3 linked regions of the Pelodiscus sinensis genome follow. The protein of the gene in region 3 purifies or fractionates together with the protein of the main gene of each other region. This does not show direct contact. Links are inferred from orthologs where the notes say so. Each region holds a gene or a part of one and is shown on either strand. Other genes may lie near its edges.

The links. Proteins that work in one complex are often made in the same cells at the same time.
Region 1: the proteins of EGFR (region 3) and PEX19 purify together in Homo sapiens (co-immunoprecipitation; 3 studies listed by BioGRID and IntAct, with this or other methods). This does not show direct contact. The link is inferred for Pelodiscus sinensis from reciprocal best matches to the Homo sapiens genes EGFR and PEX19.
Region 2: the proteins of EGFR (region 3) and EMD purify together in Homo sapiens (affinity purification with mass spectrometry; 4 studies listed by BioGRID and IntAct, with this or other methods). This does not show direct contact. The link is inferred for Pelodiscus sinensis from reciprocal best matches to the Homo sapiens genes EGFR and EMD.

What each region holds. Positions count from the first base shown.
Region 1 is NC_134734.1:14,636,682-14,643,728, forward strand, and holds the start of PEX19 (peroxisomal biogenesis factor 19), read right to left. Parts: upstream 3,021-7,047; 5' UTR 2,917-3,020; coding exon 2,850-2,916; intron 1-2,849. UniProt on the Homo sapiens protein: Necessary for early peroxisomal biogenesis. Acts both as a cytosolic chaperone and as an import receptor for peroxisomal membrane proteins (PMPs).
Region 2 is NW_027466045.1:55,910-62,983, reverse strand, and holds the start of EMD (emerin), read left to right. Parts: upstream 1-4,054; 5' UTR 4,055-4,219; coding exon 4,220-4,301; intron 4,302-4,579; coding exon 4,580-4,654; intron 4,655-4,700; coding exon 4,701-4,711; intron 4,712-4,759; coding exon 4,760-4,838; intron 4,839-4,987; coding exon 4,988-5,218; intron 5,219-5,466; coding exon 5,467-5,567; intron 5,568-6,934; coding exon 6,935-6,984; intron 6,985-7,074. Other genes in the region: TREX2 (three prime repair exonuclease 2), read right to left, coding at 1,597-2,253. UniProt on the Homo sapiens protein: Stabilizes and promotes the formation of a nuclear actin cortical network. Stimulates actin polymerization in vitro by binding and stabilizing the pointed end of growing filaments. Inhibits beta-catenin activity by preventing its accumulation in the nucleus.
Region 3 is NC_134712.1:164,043,069-164,050,330, reverse strand, and holds the start of EGFR (epidermal growth factor receptor), read right to left. Parts: upstream 3,001-7,262; 5' UTR 2,693-3,000; coding exon 2,572-2,692; intron 1-2,571. UniProt on the Homo sapiens protein: Receptor tyrosine kinase binding ligands of the EGF family and activating several signaling cascades to convert extracellular cues into appropriate cellular responses.

The sequences.
Region 1 (7,047 bases), on a different chromosome or scaffold from region 3:
AGTTCTCAGCCTATGCGTGGTACTTTATTTTATGCACACGCAGCATGGCGGCATAGCCGTGATCCCTGAAGATCCAGCTTTGTGGGGCAAGTTCCCCCTCCCTCCAGGGCTCACGTTGATGAACTGACACAAGACACCTAGGTGAGGGACAGTTAAAGGGACTCAATCGGGTTAAATTTAGCTGCAGGTTTCGATGGCCTGAAAGATTGTTTCAAAATTAATATAAAGAGCTAATGAAATGTTTAAAATTCAATTAAAATTATTTCTATGAGAACCAAGCTGTGCAGCACAAGGCTGGCACCAGAAAAATCTCAAAGAAAACTGGTCAAAAACTCGCTGTGAACCAGAAGAGCACTTGGCTAGATTGCATCAATATTCAAACAAGCCGGATGGTATCCCTTGAGGGCCAAGGATGATCCCAGGGCCAGAGAGCCCCAGTGGCTGGGAGCTGGGCAGCAGGACAGCTAGCAGCTGGGAGCCCTGGGAGCCCAGTGGGGCTGGCAGCAGCCTGGCAAGTGAGGGGGGACTGTGGCAACCCAATAGCCTGGCAGAGGAGCCAAGGTTGAGGCAGCAGCAGCCTACCTGAGGAGCTACGGTGTAGCAACACAGCAGCCCAGTAGAGGAGCCAGTATCGCCACATCGTAGCAATCCGGCAGGAGGGCTGGGGCTGCGGCAGCCCGGCAGGGGTTATGGGGCTGCGGCAGCCCGGCAGGGGTTATGGGGTTGCGGCAGCCCGGCAGGGGTTATGGGGCTGCGGCAGCCCGGCAGGGGTTATGGGGCTGCGGCAGCCCGGCAGGGGTTATGGGGCTGCGGCAGCCCGGCAGGCAGCCTGCCCAGGGCCAGTGGTAGGGTGACCGGCCGGGGCCGTAACCTGAGCCAGCAGTGGGTTGGGGGGCAGTGGCAGGGAACCTCCCCAAGTCTTGCAAATTCCCTCATGCAGGACCAGTCCAGTTCTGAGGGTGCTGGACCAGGGAAGTCCAACCTTTACCAACAAGGAGCACAAAGAATTAGGAGATTGGCACCACCCCTGAAAGCAAGTTTAGCTGCACCACTGACTTCTTACTCAGTGGAAGAATGGCTATGCATAAAGCCACAAAACACTAAGGCTGTGCAAAACTGGGCTCAACATTCTTAGCATTCATTCAGTGTTAGTGATCTGAGATGTTATGACATAGTTGAGAAAACTTTGTAGTACTTTTCCTTAGTGTGACAGTGTCCCTTTAAGGATTCACAGATTCTGCTCCTGGCTAAAAATTACCCACATCTTATTATTTGTTACCTTCTTTCCCCACCACAAATTGTTTGTTTCATCCACGCTTTATGCCAGGGGTGGGGAACCTCAGGCCTGTGGGCCCTTGCCTAGATCCGGCCCCCAGCTTGCCTAGTTCTGGCCCCCGATGCTCAGCATTGGGACATAGTAGGTGCTGAGCCTACTCCTAACAGGGCTGGAGCACACAAAATCTACTAGCCTGGGCCCCTTTAGGCTCTGGTGTGCATGGGGAATGTGGAGAATGTCTTTCTCCTTCTCAGTGAGGGGTTTCTGACTTTGCTTTTCACTTGTGCGGGGCCTCTGACTGATTTTTCTGGGGGTCAGTGGTCCCCGACCCAAAAAAGGTTCCCCAAAAAAGGTTCCCTGCTTTATGCCTTGGCTTTTAGGTTATAAGCTTTGTGGGGTGGAGTCTGCCATGTTTTATATACAGCATCTAGCACAACGGAGCTCAGGTTGGTTAGTCTCTGGGCCCTAGGGCAATATAAAGCAAGCCACCCGCACCCATGCCTACAACAGAAATCAGTTCATCCACTGAAATGCCGGGGTGAAGCATGGTGGCTGTTTAACAGCCATGTAAGTAAATGTAGGACAAATGAGGGACAAAGTATGTTGTATCTAAATAAAGCTGCAGGGAAATTTGTGCAGGGTGATCACCTAAGCAGCAATTCATCCCCAACAGAGTTAGTGGCCAGGCAGCCCAAAACAAACACACATGGCTGGTAACTTTCACCTCTCTTCCAGAGGACATAGCCCTCTGACCAGCACCTGCCACCCTTGCACTGGGCCCTGGATAACTGACAAGAGAGTCACCCGACACCCAATGAATCTCCCTTTAAGTCCCCCAAACTCAAATATGGACCAAGGTCAACCTGGCAGCCTCAAGCCAAGAGGGTCAAAGACCAGCTGTTGTGAACAGAGCGTCCTAGTCGGCTGAGAACGCCTATTTCAGATGAATGCCACGCTCCGATAGCACTCAGAAATAATAATGCTTCCTAACCCAGCAACTTTTAGAGGCCCCCATTCACACCATCATCATACAGCCCACGTTATGTCCAAGATTATGTTTATTTACCACAGTTTGGCAGGTCTCCACCCCACATTCACTGGGTCTCAAGCACTTGGATCTCAACTTTGAATGTTTTAGTAGATGGGCCCTCTCAGCTGCTGGTCACTCAGAGCCCCCTGGAGGGAGGCAGGGCGCAGCCCGCAGCACCCCTGAAATCCCAGCCCCCCAGTAACCTGCAGGGCAATCAAGGGCCTGACAGGAGAGCCACCCCAGCCGCACCTCTACCAGCAGCTCCCTCAAACGCTGCCAGAGGGGTGGAGCCCCTGGGGCCCTGCTGGCCGAGAATACAAGTGACGGGGTGTCTCAAGACCGAGGCCCTGCTAGATACAGTCCTGTCCTGCCACAGGGGTCCCCACGTGATGGAAGCCCCCCCCACCGATCAGCCCCACACCAGGCCTGACCCCCCATCTGATCTTACATCCCGAGCCCTTCGCCCCTCCAGCCCCCCCCCCCGGGCTAGGATCCTCCCCTTCCCCCGCCAGAGAGCCCCGGGGCCGCTCCCCAGCCCCTTACTCTCCAGCAGCTCGTCCAGCTCCCGGTCCGGGCCCGCCTGCCCGGCCCCCGCCGCCGCCGCCGCCATCTTCGCTGCCGCCTCCCGTCCGGTCCTGCGCGGGGCGGAGCTGGCCGGCCCGGAGCCTCCTGGGGGCAGGCCCGGCCGCCGCCGCCAGCTTAGGGGAGGGAGCGTCCCTCCTCCCCCCGCTGGGCGTTGCGCGGCCCGGCACCTCCCCTGCCGGCCCGGTACGCGCCTCCCCCAGGGCCTGGCCCCCCCACCAGGGCCCCTTACCCCTCCGAGCCTGGCACCTTTACCTGTCTGCCCTGCTCCCCTTCCAGGACCTGCCTTACCCCTCCGAGCCTGGCACCTTTACCTGTCTGCCCTGCTCCCCTTCCAGGACCTGCCTTACCCCTCCGTGCCTGGCACCTTTACCTGTCTGCCCTGCTCCCCTTCCAGGACCTGCCTTACCCCTCCGAGCCTGGCACCTTTACCTGTCTGCCCTGCTCCCCTTCCAGGACCTGTCTTACCCCTCCGAGCCTGGCACCTTTACCTGTCTGCCCTGCTCCCCTTCCAGGACCTGCCTTACCCCTTCGAGCCTGGCACCTTTACCTGTCTGCCCTGCTCCCCTTCCAGGACCTGCCTTACCCCTCCGAGCCTGGCACCTTTACCTGTCTGCCCCGCCCCCCTTCCAGGACCTGCCTTACCCCTCCGAGCCTGGCACCTTTACCTGTCTGCCCTGCTCCCCTTCCAGGACCTGCCTTACCCCTCCGAGCCTGGCACCTTTACCTGTCTGCCCTGCTCCCCTTCCAGGACCTGCCTTACCCCTCCGAGCCTGGCACCTTTACCTGTCTGCCCTGCTCCCCTTCCAGGACCTGCCTTACCCCTCCGAGCCTGGCACCTTTACCTGTCTGCCCTGCTCCCCTTCCAGGACCTGCCTTACCCCTTCGAGTCTGGCACCTTTACCTGTCTCCCCCGCCCCTCTTCCAGGACCTGCCTTACCCCTTTGAGCCTGGCACCTTTACCTGTCTGCCCCGCCCCCCTTCCAGGACCTGCCTTACCCCTTTGAGCCTGGCACCTTTACCTGTCTGCCCTGCTCCCCTTCCAGGACCTGTCTTACCGCTTCGAGCCTGGCACCTTTACCTGTCTCTCCTGCCCCCCTTCCAGGACCTGCCTTACCCCTTCGAGCCTGGCACCTTTACCTGTCTCTCTCTCCCCCGCTCCCCTTCCAGGACCTGCCTTACCCCTTCGAGCCTGGCACCTTTACCTGTCTCTCCCCCCCCTTCCAGGACCTGCCTTACCCCTTCGAGCCTGGCACCGTTACCTGCCACCCCCCCCCTTAGAATCTGGCATCCCTTACCTGGGTCCTCCCACTCCCCCTAGGAGCTGCCTTACCCCTTAGAGCCTGGCACCGCTTACCCGCCTCTACCAGGGGCTGGCACTTCCGGACCTACCTTACCATTTTAGAGCCTGGCACCCCTTGTCTGGCTCCCTCCTTTCTGCCTCCCTAGGGACTGGCAGCCTCCATCCTAGGGCCAGACAGCTACCTGTCCCCCTCTCCCTGCTGCACAGGCCCTGGCTTCCTCTTGCCTGCCACCCACCCTCCTTAGAGCCTGGTACCCATCACCTGTTCCTGCCTCCGGGGCCTGGCACCCCTGTTGGGTGTTGGCACCTTCACTCATCTCCATTAGGGCCTGGCATTAGCCACCTGCCTCCACCAAGTTTGGCAGCCTGCCCTTGCCAGGGTTGGCACCATAGGGACTATCACCCACCCCTTAGAGATTGACACCCCCACCAGACCTGGCATCCCACACCCTTTCCTTCCCCTCTTGCTTGGATCAGTCACACAGCCTCCCCCACCATCAAGGGGGCAACTAGAATTTTGCTAAAGAGGGTGCCCTACCATTATGCCAGCCAGTTCTAGTCAGGGGGTGCTGTTCTGCCTGCCCTCCCACCCTTGTTGTGTTCCTGCTTGATATTTGAGTTTTCATGAGAAGTTATACAGCAAAGAAAAGCTAGTGTGAAACTCAAATCCTTGCAAGCTGCATGGAAGCTTTTTTTAAAGACCCCATTATAGAGGCTTAAATTCAATACATAACCCAATTTAAAAAATATAGTAAAGTGCTACTGTGGCTAAGCAATAAAGTCAAAGTAGAAATTAAATTCTACTGAGAAAAACAGAAAAGAATATAAACTCTGGCAAGTGAAGTGTAAAAATATAACTAGGAAAGATAAAAAAGAATATGAAGAACAGTTAGCCAAAGACTCAGAAAGTTTAACATTAAAAAAAAAATCAGAAGTAGGAAGCCTGCTAAACAATCAATGGGGTCACTCAAGGTGGGTAAAGCATAGTGGAGAAATTAAATTAAGAAATCATTTAATTTTTCCACTGCTGAGAATACGATGGACATTCCCAAACCTGAGCCATTCTTTTTAGATGTCAAATCTAAGGAATAGTCTGAGATTGAGGTGTCATTAGAGGAAGTTTTGGAACAAACTGATAAACATTAATAAGTCACCAGCACCAGATGGTATCACCCAAGAGTTCGGAAGTAACTCAAATGTGAAATTGAACTACTAACCGGTATGTAACCTGTTTTTAAAATCAACTTCTGTACTTCAGGTTGCCTCATGTTAAAAAAGGTACAGAAAAGGGCAACAGAAATGATGAGGGGGATGGAGATTAACGAGACTTGGTTACGTTTACACTGCACACCTGAAAATTGTACAGCTGAGCTACTGCAACCACGTTGTTGTAAAGCACACAGTGCAGCCCTCTGTGACCAGGAAAGAGCCCACGGCCCTTAGCTGTCTTTTCCAACTCCAAAGGTCCATGCCATGTCTACACTGCACTTTTGCTGAAAAACACCCCCTGCACAACAAAAGTTTGAACGATTAAATGCGCCAGAGTGGACAGCACTTCATTGGCAAGGAAATGCTCTCCCACCGACAAAGCCACGACCCCTCATTTGGGGGAGAGTGTATTTTGTTGCCTGGAGAGCTCTCTCCCAGGAACAAAGAGCAGCTACACTGCGGTTTTCACAATGGCACAGCTGCAGTGTCACAGCCATGCTGTTGTAAAATACACAGTGTAGGCACAGTCTAAGGGGAGATATGGTAGAAGTCTATAAAATCATGACTGGTGTGGAGAAAGTAAATAAGGAAGTGTTAATTACTCTTTCATGTACATGCACAGGTTGACATGAACAAACAACAATATGTGACATATAACCTCCACCATGCAGAACACAACACTATACACAGCTTCAAAAACAATTCTAAGGTTATAATCAAAGAGGCTGACAAAGGGGGTGCTATAGTCATCAAGAACAGGACAGATTACAAACAGGAGGCTGCAAGAAAACTCATCAACACCACATTCTACAGGCCTCTTTCCTCTGATCCCACTGAAGAATACTCAGAAAAACCCTACACCATCTGCTCATGAAACTTGGGATGAAATCTATACAAACCCCTTGCTAAATCTCTAACCAGGAGTTTTCTATCTGCTACCCAAGATCCATAAACCTGGAAATCCCGGATGTCCTATCATCTCAGGCTTCAGCACACTTACAGCAGAATTATCTGGTTATGTTGACTCTCTCCTCAGACTCTATGCTATCAGCACTCCTAGCTACCTTCAAGACATCACTGACTTGCTAAGGAAACTACAGAACATCAGTAATCTTCCTGAAAACACCATCCTGGCCACCATGGATATAGAAGCTCTTTACTCCAACTTTCCACATGATGATTATTACTAGCTGTCAGGAACACTATCCCTGATGATGCTACTGCACACCTGGTTACTGTGCACTGTGACTTTGTCCTCACCCACAACTATTTCCAATTTGGGACCATTTATATCTTCAAGTTGACGACATCTTTGTTATATGGAACCACAGGACGAAACCCTTGAAGAATTCCACAGGGATTTCAACAACTTCCATACCACTATCAACCTTAGCCCGGACCAGTTCACACAAGAGATCCATTTCCTTGACACTACAGTACAATGGCCACATTTCCACCACCCTACATCAGAAACCTAATGACCATTATTCTTAGCTACATACCTCTAGCTTCCATCCAGGACACGTTACACAATCGTTTACAGACAGGCTTTAAGATACAACCGGATTTGCTCCTATCTGACAGACAGAGACAAACACCTACAGGATCTCTATCAGGCATTCTTAAAACTTAAATACTCACCTGGGT
Region 2 (7,074 bases), on a different chromosome or scaffold from region 3:
CAGCCCCCCCTCCCCACCCAGACACAAGACAGACCCCAGGAGTCCTCCCCCGCTGTAACCCCCAGCCCCCCCTCCCCACCCAGACACAAGACAGACCCCAGGAGTCCTCCCCTGCTGTAACCCCCAGCCCCCCCCCCCACCCAGACACAAGACAGACCCCAGGAGTCCTCCCCCGCTGTAACCCCCAGCCCCCCCTCCCCACCCAGACACAAGACAGACCCCAGGAGTCCTCCCCTGCTGTAACCCCCAGCCCCCCCCTCCCCACCCAGACACAAGACAGACCCCAGGAGTCCTCCCCTGCTGTAACCCCCAGCCCCCCCCTCCCCACCCAGACACAAGACAGACCCCAGGAGTCCTCCCCTGCTGTAACCCCCAGCCCCCCCCCACCCAGACACAAGACAGACCCCAGGAGTCCTCCCCTGCTGTAACCCCCAGCCCCCCCCCCCCCCAGACACAAGACAGACCCCAGGAGTCCTCCCCTGCTGTAACCCCCAGCCCCCCCCTCCCCACCCAGACACAAGACAGACCCCAGGAGTCCTCCCCTGCTGTAACCCCCAGCCCCCCCCCCCCCAGACACAAGACAGACCCCAGGAGTCCTCCCCTGCTGTAACCCCCAGCCCCCCCCCCACCCAGACACAAGACAGACCCCAGGAGTCCTCCCCCGCTGTAACCCCCAGCCCCCCCCCCCCCCAGACACAAGACAGACCCCAGGAGTCCTCCCCTGCTGTAACCCCCAGCCCCCCCCCCACCCAGACACAAGACAGACCCCAGGAGTCCTCCCCCGCTGTAACCCCCAGCCCCCCCCTCCCCACCCAGACACAAGACAGACCCCAGGAGTCCTCCCCTGCTGTAACCCCCAGCCCCCCCCCCACCCAGACACAAGACAGACCCCAGGAGTCCTCCCCCGCTGTAACCCCCAGCCCCCCCTCCCCACCCAGACACAAGACAGACCCCAGGAGTCCTCCCCTGCTGTAACCCCCAGCCCCCCCCCCACCCAGACACAAGACAGACCCCAGGAGTCCTCCCCTGCTGTAACCCCCAGCCCCCCCCCCACCCAGACACAAGACAGACCCCAGGAGTCCTCCCCTGCTGTAACCCCCAGCCCCCCCCTCCCCACCCAGACACAAGACAGACCCCAGGAGTCCTCCCCCGCTGTAACCCCCAGCCCCCCCCTCCCCACCCAGACACAAGACAGACCCCAGGAGTCCTCCCCCGCTGTAACCCCCAGCCCCCCACTCCCCACCCAGACACAAGACAGACCCCAGGAGTCCTCCCCTGCTGTAACCCCCAGCCCCCCCCCCCCCAGACACAAGACAGACCCCAGGAGTCCTCCCCTGCTGTAACCCCCAGCCCCCCCCCCCCACCCAGACACAAGACAGACCCCAGGAGTCCTCCCCTGCTGTAACCCCCAGCCCCCCACTCCCCACCCAGAGCCAACACAACCCAGGTAATGGCTCGCAGCCCCCCACCCCCGCTCTAAGCACTAGCCCCCACTCCTCTCTGAGAACCCAGGCGTCCTGGCTCTCAGACCTCTCCCCCTCTTCCTTCCCCCCAGAGAGCGCCCAGGGCTCTTGGCGCTCACTGTGTGCTGGGGGGCTACATGGGGGTCACTTCCTCCCAGGCTCGGGCCTTCTCTGCCGCCCAGCCCATGAGGGCCGGGGCCCGGGCGAGGAAGATGGCGAGGAGGGTGCGGACGTCGCCCTCGGCCGAGTGGGCCCCGTCGGGCTCCCTGCCGAAGAGCCCCCGGAACAGCGCCCCCAGGTTGTAGCCCCTCTCGCTCCCCAGGCCCAGCTCCTGCAGGGCCCTCAGGGTGTCCAGGCAGCCGGTGCCAGGAGGCAGCTCGGCCCCCACACGCGCCAGCTCCGCCCGCAGCAAGGGGAAATCGTAGTCGAAGCCATTGTGGGCCACCAGGCAGAGGGGGGCGGCTTGGCGGGCCAGGAACCCGCCCAGGGCCCGAGCCACGGCCTGGTCCAGACCCCGCTTGCCGTTCTCCTGCAGGCCCTGCTGGCTGAGCCCCGTGATGTCGGCGGCTTTCGGGCTGAAGGGCTTCAGGGGGTCGATGCACAGGGTCAGCTGGTCCAGGATGCGGGGCAACTGGGGGGCGCCAGCGGCGTCCTGCGGGGGGCGCTGTAGGAGGGAGCGGCGATGCAGGGCGAAGAGGCACAGCTCAGCCAAGCGGGGGTGCTCCTGGGGCAGGCCGGTGGTCTCCAGGTCCAGAAAGACGAAGGTTTGGAAATCCTGAGGGGCCAGCATGGCTGGGGTCGGAGAGGAAGAGGAGTGAGGGGAAGCAGGTGATGCGGCTGTCTCTGGGGTAGAGCAGGGAGCCAGGACTCCTGGGCTCCGTCCCCAGCAATGGGAGGGGAATGGAGTCTAGTGGTTAGGGCGGGGGAGGGAGGGGCTGGGAGCCAGGACTCCTGGGCTCCGTCCCCGTCCCCCCCGCAATGGGAGGGGAGTGGAGTCTAGTGGTTAGGGCGGGGGAGGGAGGGGCTGGGAGCCAGGACTCCTGGGCTCTGTCCCCAGCAATGGGAGGGGAGTGGAGTCTAGTGGTTAGGGCGGGGGAGGGAGGGGCTGGGAGCCAGGACTCCTGGGCTCCGTCCCCAGCAATGGGAGGGGAGTGGGGTCTAGTGGTTAGGGCGGGGGAGGGAGGGGCTGGGAGCCAGGACTCCTGGGCTCCATCCCCCCCGCAATGGGAGGGGAGTGGAGTCTAGTGGTTAGGGCGGGGGAGGGAGGGGCTGGGAGCCAGGACTCCTGGGCTCTGTCCCCAGCAATGGGAGGGGAGTGGGGTCTAGTGGTTAGGGCGGGGGGGGGACCAGGACACTCACCTGCTCAGTGACTGCGTGCCTCAGTTTCCCAGTGTGTGCAGGCGCCCCGCTCTCCCTGCAGGAGTGTCTCTCGCGGTGCCCTGGCGCTGTGTGAGCTGCGGGAGGGCAGGACACCTGTTTGGGGGGGCGGGGGGGCGGGGCGCTCGTGGGGAAATCGAAACTGGCCAAGGAGAAGTGATGAGTCACACGGGCTCGTATCTCCCGCGGCCTTCTGGGGGCGGTGAGCGCCCTGCCCCCCTCCGAGGGCCCAGGGGCCCTGCCCCCCCGAACCCAGGCGCCCTGCCCCCCCCGAGGGCCCAGGCGCCCTGCCCCCCCGAACCCAGGCGCCCTGCCCCCCCCCGAGGACCCAGGCGCCCTGCCCCCCCGAACCCAGGCGCCCTGCCCCCCCCGAGGGCCCAGGCGCCCTGCCCCACCGAACCCAGGCGCCCTGCCCCCCCCGAGGGCCCAGGCGCCCTGCCCCCCCGAACCCAGGCGCCCTGCCCCCCCCGAGGTCCCAGGCGCCCTGCCCCCCCCCGAGGGCCCAGGCGCCCTGCCCCCCCGAACCCAGGCGCCCTGCCCCCCCCGAGGGCCCAGGCGCCCTGCCCCCCCGAACCCAGGCGCCCTGCCCCCCCCGAGGTCCCAGGCGCCCTGCCCCCCCCCGAGGACCCAGGCACCCTGCCCCCCCTCCGAGGGCCCAGGCGCCCTGCCCCCCCGAACCCAGGCGCCCTGCTCCCCCCCGAGGACCCAGGCGCCCTGCCCCCCCCGAGGGCCCAGACGCCCTGCCCCCCCCGAACCCAGGCGCCCTGCTCCCCCCCGAGGACCCAGGCGCCCTGCTCCCCCCCGAGGACCCAGGCGCCCTGCCCCCCCCGAGGGCCCAGGCGCCCTGCCCCCCCCGAACCCAGGCGCCCTGCCCCCCCCCAGGACCCAGGCGCCCTGCCCCCCCCCCCAGAACCCAGGCGCCCGGGCTCAGCGGGGCGGGCGGGGAGTTCCCCAGCTGGGAGGGGGCGTTGCGAGGGGCGCGAGACCGTTGCCAGGGAGGGGGGGGGGAAGCTGGGCGGACACGCGGGCTAGGGCGTTGCTAGGGCGGGCCGAGCGAGCCGTTGCTAGGGCGGGCCGAGCGGAGCGGAGCGGGGCGGGGCGTTGCTAGGGCGGGCCGAGCAGAGCGGGGCGGGGCGTTGCTAGGGCGGGCCGAGCGGGGCGGGGCGTTGCTAGGGCGGGCCCAGCGGGGCGGGGCGAGCGGTTGCTAGGGCGGGCCGAGCGGGGCGGGGCGTTGCTAGGGCGGGCCCAGCGGGGCGGGGCGTTGCTCGGGGCGGCGCGCTGCGCCCTTGCCGGCCCCTCCCCCGCGTGTCACTTCCTGTCGCCGCTGGCGCCTCCTGGGCCCGCTCCGCGCCGGAAGCGCCCGCCCCGCCCCGCCCGCCATGGAGCGGTACCGGGACCTGTCGGACACCGAGCTCGTCGCCCGGCTGCAGCGCTACGGCATCGCGCACGGGCCCGTCGTGGGTACGGGGGGGAGGGGCGCTGGGGGGCCGCGAGGGAGGAGCTGGGGGGGGCCGCGGGGGGGGATCTGGGGGGGGCTGGGGGGCCGCGAGGGGGGATCTGGGGGGGGCGCTGGGGGGCCGTGGGGAGGCAAGAGAAGCAGGCTCTGGGGGGCAGCCAGCGGGGTGTGATGGGAACAGGCGGAGCAGGGATGGGGGGGGGGCAGAGACATTCTGTGAGCTGTGGGGGGCAGGGCACCGTGGGCCCACCTGACCCCCCCCCCCTTGTCTCCCGGCCCCCAGGATCGACCCGGAAGCTCTATGAGAAGAAGATCTATGAGTTCGAGAGCCAGCGCACCAAGCTGTCGCCCCTGGGGGGTCTGTGAGCTACTCGGGTGAGTGGGGGGCCAGGAGGGCTGGGGAGGAGCCAGCAGCGTAGCCGCTGACACCCTCCCCCCCCCCCCCTTTTCTGTGTGTCCAGAGCCCAGCACTACCAAGACCTACATCCAGGAATCCTACAGCTACCGCCCACCAGAGGAGCGGCACCGCTACGGGGACGACAGTGAGAGGGGCTGCGGGGTGGAGTGAGGGCCGTGGGCAGAGCTTGGGGGGTGGGCACCCTGGGTCGGGCAGGGCCGGAGGGGGGGGCTGGGCTGGCAGGGGCTGTGGGTGGCAAGTGAGGGGCGCCGGCAGAGCTCAGGCTGGGATGAGCAGCAGACTGTGGGTTGGGAGTGAGGGGCATGGCAGTTTTCCTGGACTTGGGGTACAAAGGTTGGGGCATCTGGGGGTTCCTTTCTCCCATGGGGGTGGGGGCTAAAGGTGCCCTCCCACTAATCCCTCCTGTGTGTCTCTGCCTCCAGATATCCAGCCCCACCAGGACGTACACGCGGGAGCTGTATGATTTTCCTCGCCGAGAGGGTCGCACCAGCTACCTTGGGGATGGTGAGGGGGGCAGGCATTTCCTCTGGTGCGGGTGCAAGGGGGGTACAGAGCAGGGAGGATGTGTGGGAACACAGAGGGGAGGGGAAGCTTTGTAACTTCTCAGGCCTGGGCCTGACACCCCATCCCCACCCCGTCCCCCAGGCCACATTGACATTCCTGCACCAGGGAGTTCCAGGGGTGGTGCTCTGGGGGGGTGGGGGGAGAAGAGCCACGCCCAGCCCCTATCTCACCCCACTCCTCCCCCCCAGATGTGGACAGCGAGTCTTACGAAGAATCTTCCTCCTCCTCCTCCTCGTGGTTCTACGGGTCAGGCCCAGGTCCCATGGGGGAAGCCACTGCCCGCCAGCCGGTAAGTCAGGCCTTATTTGGGGGCAGGGATCTGGGGCAGGGGGCAGCTCCAGTTCTCTCCCTACGCTCTCTGCCCCCCGCCCCAACCCAGACTCTCACACTGCCCCTCCGCTCCCTCCTACTTGGTCCTACCACATCTGACCCCCAATTCTGCCCCATCTCCAGCACCCTGGGGCAATCCTGCACTTGGCTGCTGGTCCAGCCTGGCAGGCTGTTGGCGGCTGGGTGATGGGAGGGGCTGGTGAAGCTGGAACTAAGTTGGGTGATGTTGTGTGGTGTAGAGTCAGTCCCTTGCTGGTTGCTCTGCATGGGCTGTGGGTGACCCCCGCTGGCGGCTGTCCGGAAGCATGACCCAGCAGCAGGTGCCTGGCCGCCCCAGGGCACCTTTGTAACAAAATGTCAACTTTGTAACTGTTAAAGCACCAGCTGTCAGCATGGCCTACCCAAGCAGAGCAAGTACCCTGAACCACAGCCCGAGAAGCGGTCCCCGCTGGCTGTTGCTGTCAGTAGCCCGCCTTTCTTTTTTTTGAGTTGAGTGTCTGCGGAAACCGAGCTTTGCTGGGCTCGATCGATAAGAATCGAATCCTTCCCGCTGGCTCTGCCGCTCCCGTCATGGCAAACGAAAAGGGAATCGCTGGACTCTAGCTCCTCCCTTGGTCCCCCCGAGTAAGGCCTCGAGTGTGACTGTCGGGCCCGGGCGCGCTCCTGTTGAAGCACACGCAACCCTGGAGGTGCCCTTCATTCAGTTTAGGTCTCTCCCTTTCGAAGGGAGCTGAATTAAGGCCACTTGCTCTAGTGCTAGAGCACGAAGGGCCCCGGCTTGCCTCTGCGCCCAGCGCTGCCGGGCTGGCACTGCTTAGTGTCTGCTGTTCCAGAGCCAAAGAGGGTGCAGGGGGAGGGGGACTCCCCAAGGAAAGGCTGGTGGTGCAGCGTGTCCCGTGCTGGAGAGATGCAAATGACTCCCTAGACAGAGCCAGGGTATGTGGCTGAGCGAGCTCCTGCCCCATAGCTGGACAGCACCTGCAGCCCCCCATGCCTGGAGTAACCTGATGATTGGGGCCCTACCAATTTCACTGCGGTAGAAAATGTGCCAGGGCTCCCTCCCCCCCCTTAGCAGCCCTCCCCCCACAGCTCCCCCTCCCCTCTTCCCTGTAGAAGCAGCCATCTGTGTGTTCCCTCCCTCCCCTGCAGACTGCTCTGCACAGGCACCTCAGACCCCGGAAGCGCCCAGCTGTGGCAGCAGCACAGAAGTGAGGGGACAGGCCCAAGGGCCTTGGGGGGGGGAGGTTTCAGGTGAACACGTTTGCGAACCAGGTGGGTGTGAAATTGGCCAGCCTGGGGCGTGACGGCCGATGCTTTTCCTTGCAGATCGGCGAGTCCGCGGCCTACGCCCCCAGCAGGACAGAGGAGGCTGAGAGGTGAGACGCAGTTGTTGGGGTAGGGCCCCCCTCCGAGGGGCCAGCTGGCATTGACGGGAGGGGGCTGGAGTCTAAGGGGGGAGCTGTGGG
Region 3 (7,262 bases):
TGTGTTTACACCAATGGATCTGAGGCTGAGCCAGATTCTCATCTGTCAGTATGTTAAAATGTTTAGTATCACTGATTTGGTTTGGGAAAGTTGATGATTCTTTAAAAAAAAAAAAAAAAACCAAGATTAGTTTTCACTCGGCTGTATTTAAATTTGTTTTTAATTCTCAATGTTTAAAGAAAGATTTTTAAAAAAAATGGTATTGAAGTCACCTCAACTCAAACCAAAATGTAAAATTGTACATTTTGCATTCTAACAAACATTGTACTAGTATCCGAGTCCTTTAAAAAAATCATCTCTTTGTACAGTAAGAAATGACATTAAGTTCAGGTGAAATTTTTAAAATGTGAATGCTCATAACTATATACAGCTTAAAATTTCTTAGATGCTTCATATTAGTTTACTGTAGCACTTCATTGGTTTGTATTGCTTATGCACCTCCAGCCCCTCAAGTTGGTGATATATCGTATCAAAAAAAGGATCCCATGTACCCAAACATGGAGGCAGGTTCTGGGGTCATGAAGATGATCTGATCTATCATGCACCTATTACTTTGAAGGCAAAAGTTAAAATGTGGAACTATTTTATGAACCTTCAGCGGGTATCCAAGTTAGTCTGTCCAGGATAAACTTAAAACTTCCAGCTCAGCTTTCCCCTTGATATTTTTTACCCACTGCCTCTTCTTGTTCCTCCCTCCCATTTTTTCCTTCTTCTATCCCCACCCCCTTCTCCCCTATTTATTTTGGGCCTGGACATCCAACACTCTGCTCATCTGAAGAAGTGGGCTGTGCCCATGAAAGCTCATGATACCATCTACATGTTTTGTTAGTCTTTAAAGTGCTACATAACTATTTGATGATTCTTCAGTGAGGATTCTTCCTGTATCATAGCCTCCAATGGGAATTTTATCATTTAATTTGTTGAAGCAGGAGCATGCTACCTAAAAGCACTTTTCTGCTGCTCACCTTTAATGAGCATACAAATACAGCAAAAACAGAACAATCAGGCAACTCAGTGTAATTTGAAGATGACATACACTACTTCTGTCTTGGTCAACAGGTCTAACTCTCCTGATGTGAAAAGGCACTGGCAACTAATTATAACCGAGGTGTGGGTGGTGAAGCTATTGTCTATCATTTCTTTACTACTGGCTTATTAAATAATCATAGAATGGGCTCCTTCCTGGTCAGACCTAGGGCTCCGAGACTGTAACACCAATACAATAATTGCTACCTCTTAATGCTGTAAGCTTTAGTATTGTCCTTGCATCAAAATATTTTGCAGAAATTGTAAAACTCAGTCTGTGTTTCAAAACAATTTTATCTGAGCTGCACAATCACAGCAAAGGGAGTCAACTGCCCCCAAACCCTGCCCTAATTACATCAGCAACAGGTACGAGCTTGCTTCTTGGAACCAGAGTGCCTCTTGATTTCAAGATTGTGCAATTAGCTTTCTGAAAAGGCGTGTTTCTACTTTTCAAAGATGGTTTGATTGTTCGGAGTCACGAAATGCTAACGCTCCTCTAACAGACTTTCTAAAACTATTAGGTCTTTTCTCAATTTTTTTTAAACAAAAATCTGCATTGTGTTGTTGTTGGAGGATTCCCAAGATAAAGACAATTTTGCCTGGAACCGAAGTTGGCTGCCTATCCTTGAAGCTTATAAAAGGGGGGGGGGGGGGAGAGAGAGAGTTTGGCCAACCAAAAACTTTTTTTCTTCCCCAAACTGAAACTGCTTCCTTAACGTATTAAAACCTTGCAAACTAGGCTGAACAGTTCTCACTACGCCCGCGTCAGTACACGGCTACAGGACAAGAAACAGTCAGCGCAGCCGACCGTGAGAAACAAGCCGCGCCGGCCATTCACAAAACTTGCCAATTTGTTTAGACTGGTCACCCCACAACGTGCCCCCTGCGCGCATTTCAGCTCAACAGGGCTCAGGAGCCGGTGAGAACCACAAGCCAAGAGCCCAACCTGCCTGCAGTTGTTCCAAAACTGAGGCTCGCCTGGTACACGAGTTATTTGGCTCCGGCAGGTCTGTGAATCATCCATGCGCCCCCATCCAGGAAGACGTTAATAAGCCTCGGGCAATAGGACAAGCCTCAGCGCTTGTGAAACCGACCCAGCCGCCTGTCACTGCCTCTCCGCTCGTGGCTCCGCACCCCCCAGCGACGCCTCGGAGAGGCCCCTGAGAACAAGGGCACGGAGGGACTTCGTTTGCCAGGCTGCCTAGGACCCGCCTCGGGCGCTGCCGGGTTTACACGTGCGGGGCGCAAAGGGGGGTGGGCGCTCCGGAGGGCCGGGTTGCGAGGGGCCAACCTGGGGATCGCAGCGCGCGGTGCTGGCTGGGGAAAGGGCAAGGGACGTGCCCAGGATTTTCTCTCCCTCCCCTCCCAGGAGAAAGCAAGCCCCCGCCTCAGGCAATGGGACGCCGCGCCAGTGACACCCTCTCGGTCAGGGCATCTGGACAGCGCAGCGCTACGGAGCCGGAGGGAAAGTTTAACCCCCCCCCAGCCTGGGGACAGCGGGCTCCCCCCGAACACACGGGCAGCGCAGCAGGGCGCGAGCGGTACCTTTCTTCTCCACCGCGGCGCTGAGGCAGACGCAGGAGAGGAGCAGCACCAGGACAGCGGCGCCCCCAGCCCGGAGGTGCCCGCTGGCTGCTGCCCGCGGCCGGCGGCTCCAGTCCCCCATGCTGGGCTGGGCAACAATCCCCGGGGCTCGTCGCGGCTCCCTCCTGGTCCCGGCGGCGCTCAGCTGCGCTGCCCGGCTCTGCAGACCATGCTGAGCTGCTGCTGCTGCTGCCAGGGCGGCGGCGGCGGCTCCCACCGCCCCACGTGCGCGGCGGAGCAAGTGCCGGGGGCTGCTGGCGGCGACCCTGCTGCTCGCGCCCGGGGCGGAGGGCGCTGCTGGCTCGGGCAGGCGGCAGCTCCGCTCTCGCCCCCTTGTCCCAACTCCTCCGCTCGCAGCCAAACTTTCCCCGCACGCAGCCAGCCAGCAGGCTCAGGGGCTCCCTCTGGGGAATCCGCCCGCCCCGCGCAGGGGGCGGGGCAGGGGCGGGACTGGAGGAGGAGACACCCTGGCGGCGCCTCCCCCCTCCCGTGTTCCAGGTGAGGGGCTGGGGGGGGGCGCTCACCTGGGCCGGGAGCCCTGGGGGGAGCTAAGCGAATGTCCCTAGTTCCTGCCCAGTCCCCTCAGCCTGCCGCTCGCCTTAGCATTTGCTAAAGAGGAGCTCGCCCTCTTCGCTGTGGCTGCAGCTTTGCAGCCCTGCCCTTGGCCTCGTACCTAGGAAGGGCAGGGATCGAGCACGGTCTTTGCCTCAGGGCTCCTCAGGCGGAGGCAGAGCGAGCTGAGCCCTGGGCGAAAGGCTGGGAGAGGACTGGAGCCCTGCTCACTTGCACGTCCCCCCCGCCCTTTGACTATCGCCGCAGCTACGCAGGAGGTAGCCTAATCCCATTGACTTTGCTGGAATCCCCTGCGTTCCGCACCTCCTGGAAGTAAACACAGGCTCGGCCCTTCTCTCTGGGTGTGTGTGAGAGAGGGAGGATGTCTGGCAAAAGCGAACTGGGAAGTCTCGCCTGCGTTCTTGAGGAGGCGAGAGTGGAAATCAGTTCCCGAGCAACTCTGTCAGAAAGCAAAAGACTGATAAGGAGTAATTGTGGGAGACGGGAGTGGGAGGCTAAAATCAGTCAGTCGCTCCTTTGCTTTCAAAGGAGAGATTTGGAAATGAACTTTTTAAAAAATGCCAAGAGAGCTTTATGAAGGACCTCCCGGGGGAAAAATAAATAATTACCGGACGAAGTTAATGATTAAAAAAGTTACGACAGTGCACTAGAGCTTGGAGTTTTGCTACTGCTTTCTATGGGACCGATCCTGTTCCCACAGTGTGCATTTTATCATTAAAACTCTCTATGGAGTTTGTGAGAGTAGAAAAAAAGAGTCTAACTATATTATTTTTATGTGTCCTTTCCTCCCTCAATAACTCATAGTCCCTTGGGCACTGATCCTACTTGGAACTAATGGTTTTTGCTATATTGTATGCTCCTGTTCCTGTGTTGCTTGGTTAAGGAATACTGAATTAAGAAAAAAATTGTTTTATAATATTTTCCTTGTACAAACCAGCATATATATGCGCACACACACATTTGGACAACACATTAAATTATGTGGGTTTTTGATGGTTAGTATAACATACTGAGTTTGTGCATCTGGAAATACTATTACACTATCAGATACATTGTGGGTGGATTGTCTGGCTTTCATTAGAGACAAATAGGATTTTTTAAAATCACACCAGGTCAACATAAATAAACTTTGCAGCACTGTGGGGGTAACCTTAGTATATATTACAGATTGCAAATTGCACAAGAAGGATGGGTACTAGATTAAAGGTGCTGGGAGAGATGTCTGTCACATCTCATAAGAAAAAAAGTATAATGTAAAGCCTAATGTATCTACGATCTTGAAGATAGTGCAAGAATAATTTATTTAATGCATACTGTTAGCCTCCTGAATGCAATAGACTCAGACATTTACAGAGTTCACCAAAAACTAAATAAACCACAAACCAACACACACACACTTTATCTATGGTCAATCATCGTTTCTATTTGAATTTGTATGAAACTGACCATTTGACAGTGAGTGATCTCTTACCTCGTTCCTGACCTAAACTGAAAATATGTCAGCATTGCGCACTCTTTATGGAGGCATGTGGAGTAAGACATCCTTTTGGTATGTGCATGAATAGCAGTGGAGACGGGGAAGCACTGCTGAGTGGAGTATAGACATGTCTGAACCCTGTGGGCACCTATCCTACAAACAGCTTCACTTCTCTACATGTCCAAGCAATATCTCCCACATCTGTAGGGCTACTTTTAGTTCTGTTTTGTATAGTGGAATTTTTCCCATCACATGGAAAGACTCTAGCAGCAAGGAAAGGGCATGGAGGAGATGGTAGGGAAAGGCTCCCAATGTTCATCATCACCAGAGCCTTTCCCTGGCCACAGCTATTTCCCCCCTACTGCTATCTTTCATTGATGTATTGCTACACACCACAAAGTATATGCAGGTTGCTTTTCATTGCGGCATATAGTTACACGTACCCTATATGCCAGCACCAGTGGTGTGCAGCATAGATCTAGCCTTTAGGAATTCCCACTGTAGTTATCATTTCTCCTACTGCAAATGTTCAACTCATTTTCAGAGTGGAAAAGGCTCTTTTAGCACTGACACTATGGAGTTCTGCAGCAAACAGCTATCATTTTTTCCTACCCTATCCTACTGAGTTTGAATGTATTACATTCTTGACAACTGAACTCTTCTAGTCAAGAAAGTAAGATACATAAAGATACACCAAGACCTGAAGACCATATGCTGCAGCACAACTGGGAACTACCAAAGCTGTCAGGTCTGCAGATGTCTCCTGTTCACATAACCAAACAATCGCTGAAATTGTTAGTTTACATAATATCTCTGTTTCAAACACAGGAACCTGTTCTATGTGGGTATGTCTACACAGCAGCATTATTTCAGAATAACTGACATTATTTCGAAAAAACGTAGTGCATGTCTAAACTACAAGCTTTTATTTTGAAATAATGCTGAGATGGAGGACTTCTTACTCTGACTCATGGTAACCCTCATTTCATGAGTAGTAAGGGAAGTCGAAGCACCAAAAGCCGAATTAAGCTATTTCAATTTAAGCTATGCAATTGTGTAGTTTAATTCCACTTTAGCTTTGGGCTGTGTCTAGACTGGTCAGCTGTCTACACTGGCCACTTGAATTTGCACAAGAACACTGATGATCTAATGTAAGATTGTCAGTGTTCTTGCGCAAATACTATGATGCTCCCACTCGGGAAAAAGCCCCCTTGTGCAAATGCTTTTGCGCAAGAGGGCCGGTGTAGACAGGTAAAAACTGTTTTGCGCAAAAAAGCCCCGATGGCAAAAATGGCGATCGGGGCTTTCTTGTGCAAAACTGCATCTAGATTGGCACGGACGCTTTTCCGCAAAAAGTGCTTTTGCGCAAATGCATCCGTGCCAATCTAGACGCTCTTTTCCGCAAATGCTTTTAACAGAAAAACTTTTCCGTTAAAAGCATTTGCGGAAAATCATGCCAGTCTAGACTTAGCCTTGCTGTGTAGATGTACCCTGAAAGGCCTCTACAGGACTGACTAACAGAATTCTAATGTCCCACGGTTTTTGTTGTTTCAATAGGCGGGCTGTCATCCCTTACTACATGGCATAGGAAGAAATAATTGACATTTCCATAATTCCTCAATCCCCATCAACAGCAGAGATGGAATTAACCTCACTTGCCCCCACAGACTGTGTTGCAGAACAGAATGCAGCTTCAGAACAATTCCATGGTAGGTAGAGGGATTGTGGAATCTTGTTGCATGGAGTCCTTGCAGCTTGGTCCTCCACTCTTACAAAGCATAGGTGTGCCTTGCGTTCTATTGCCTTCTTACAAGGATGGTGACAGGATTTGTTCCACAATGAGAACTTGAAAGGTTTTATTATGAGCAGAGGAAAAAATAAAGGTGCATTGATTGGAAAGAATTTAATCTTTAATTTGTTCAGACTTCATCTGTGTTATGCTGGAGTTTGTACAGAATGTACTTTGACGTATTTTGCATTTTAATGTAAGAAATGATTAAATGACTTATAGCACTTCTGTGGTCCCTGACACTTTCAAACATTAACTAGTTATTCTTCACAACTCTCCTGTGAAGCAGCTTAGTATATATAAGATCCACATTTTACAAAATATCTTCTCTGGAAGCAGCATGATATATAGGCATATAGATAGATATAGACAGATACATATTCACATACACACGGGTAATAATTGTTTGCCTAACAGCATGTAGGGAGATTTGGGAAGGTATACAGATGGGCACTGGGGTTAAGCCTTAGTAACCATAAATCCCTTAGTCAATATTGCTTTACACAGAATATGTGCCTCTGTCCAAATCAAGAGATTTTTATATTTCTGAGTTTGTACTGCCACTATCTATGCTCAAGGCTATCCCTCCCACCCTCCAAGGGGCCAGGACACAGACCGGTGGTTACAATACATGGAGGAGGACCCTACTCCAGGGACGGTCCTGTATGCAAACATACAACACGGGGGGAAGGGGAGTAACCGAGTGGGCCCAAGGCACACTACTGTGGTGTCACCTGGGCTCAGGGGTGGAGACCATGAGGTGTGGGGACAGTGGATGGGCTGCCTGACTGACCCATCCTTTCTTCTGTTCCC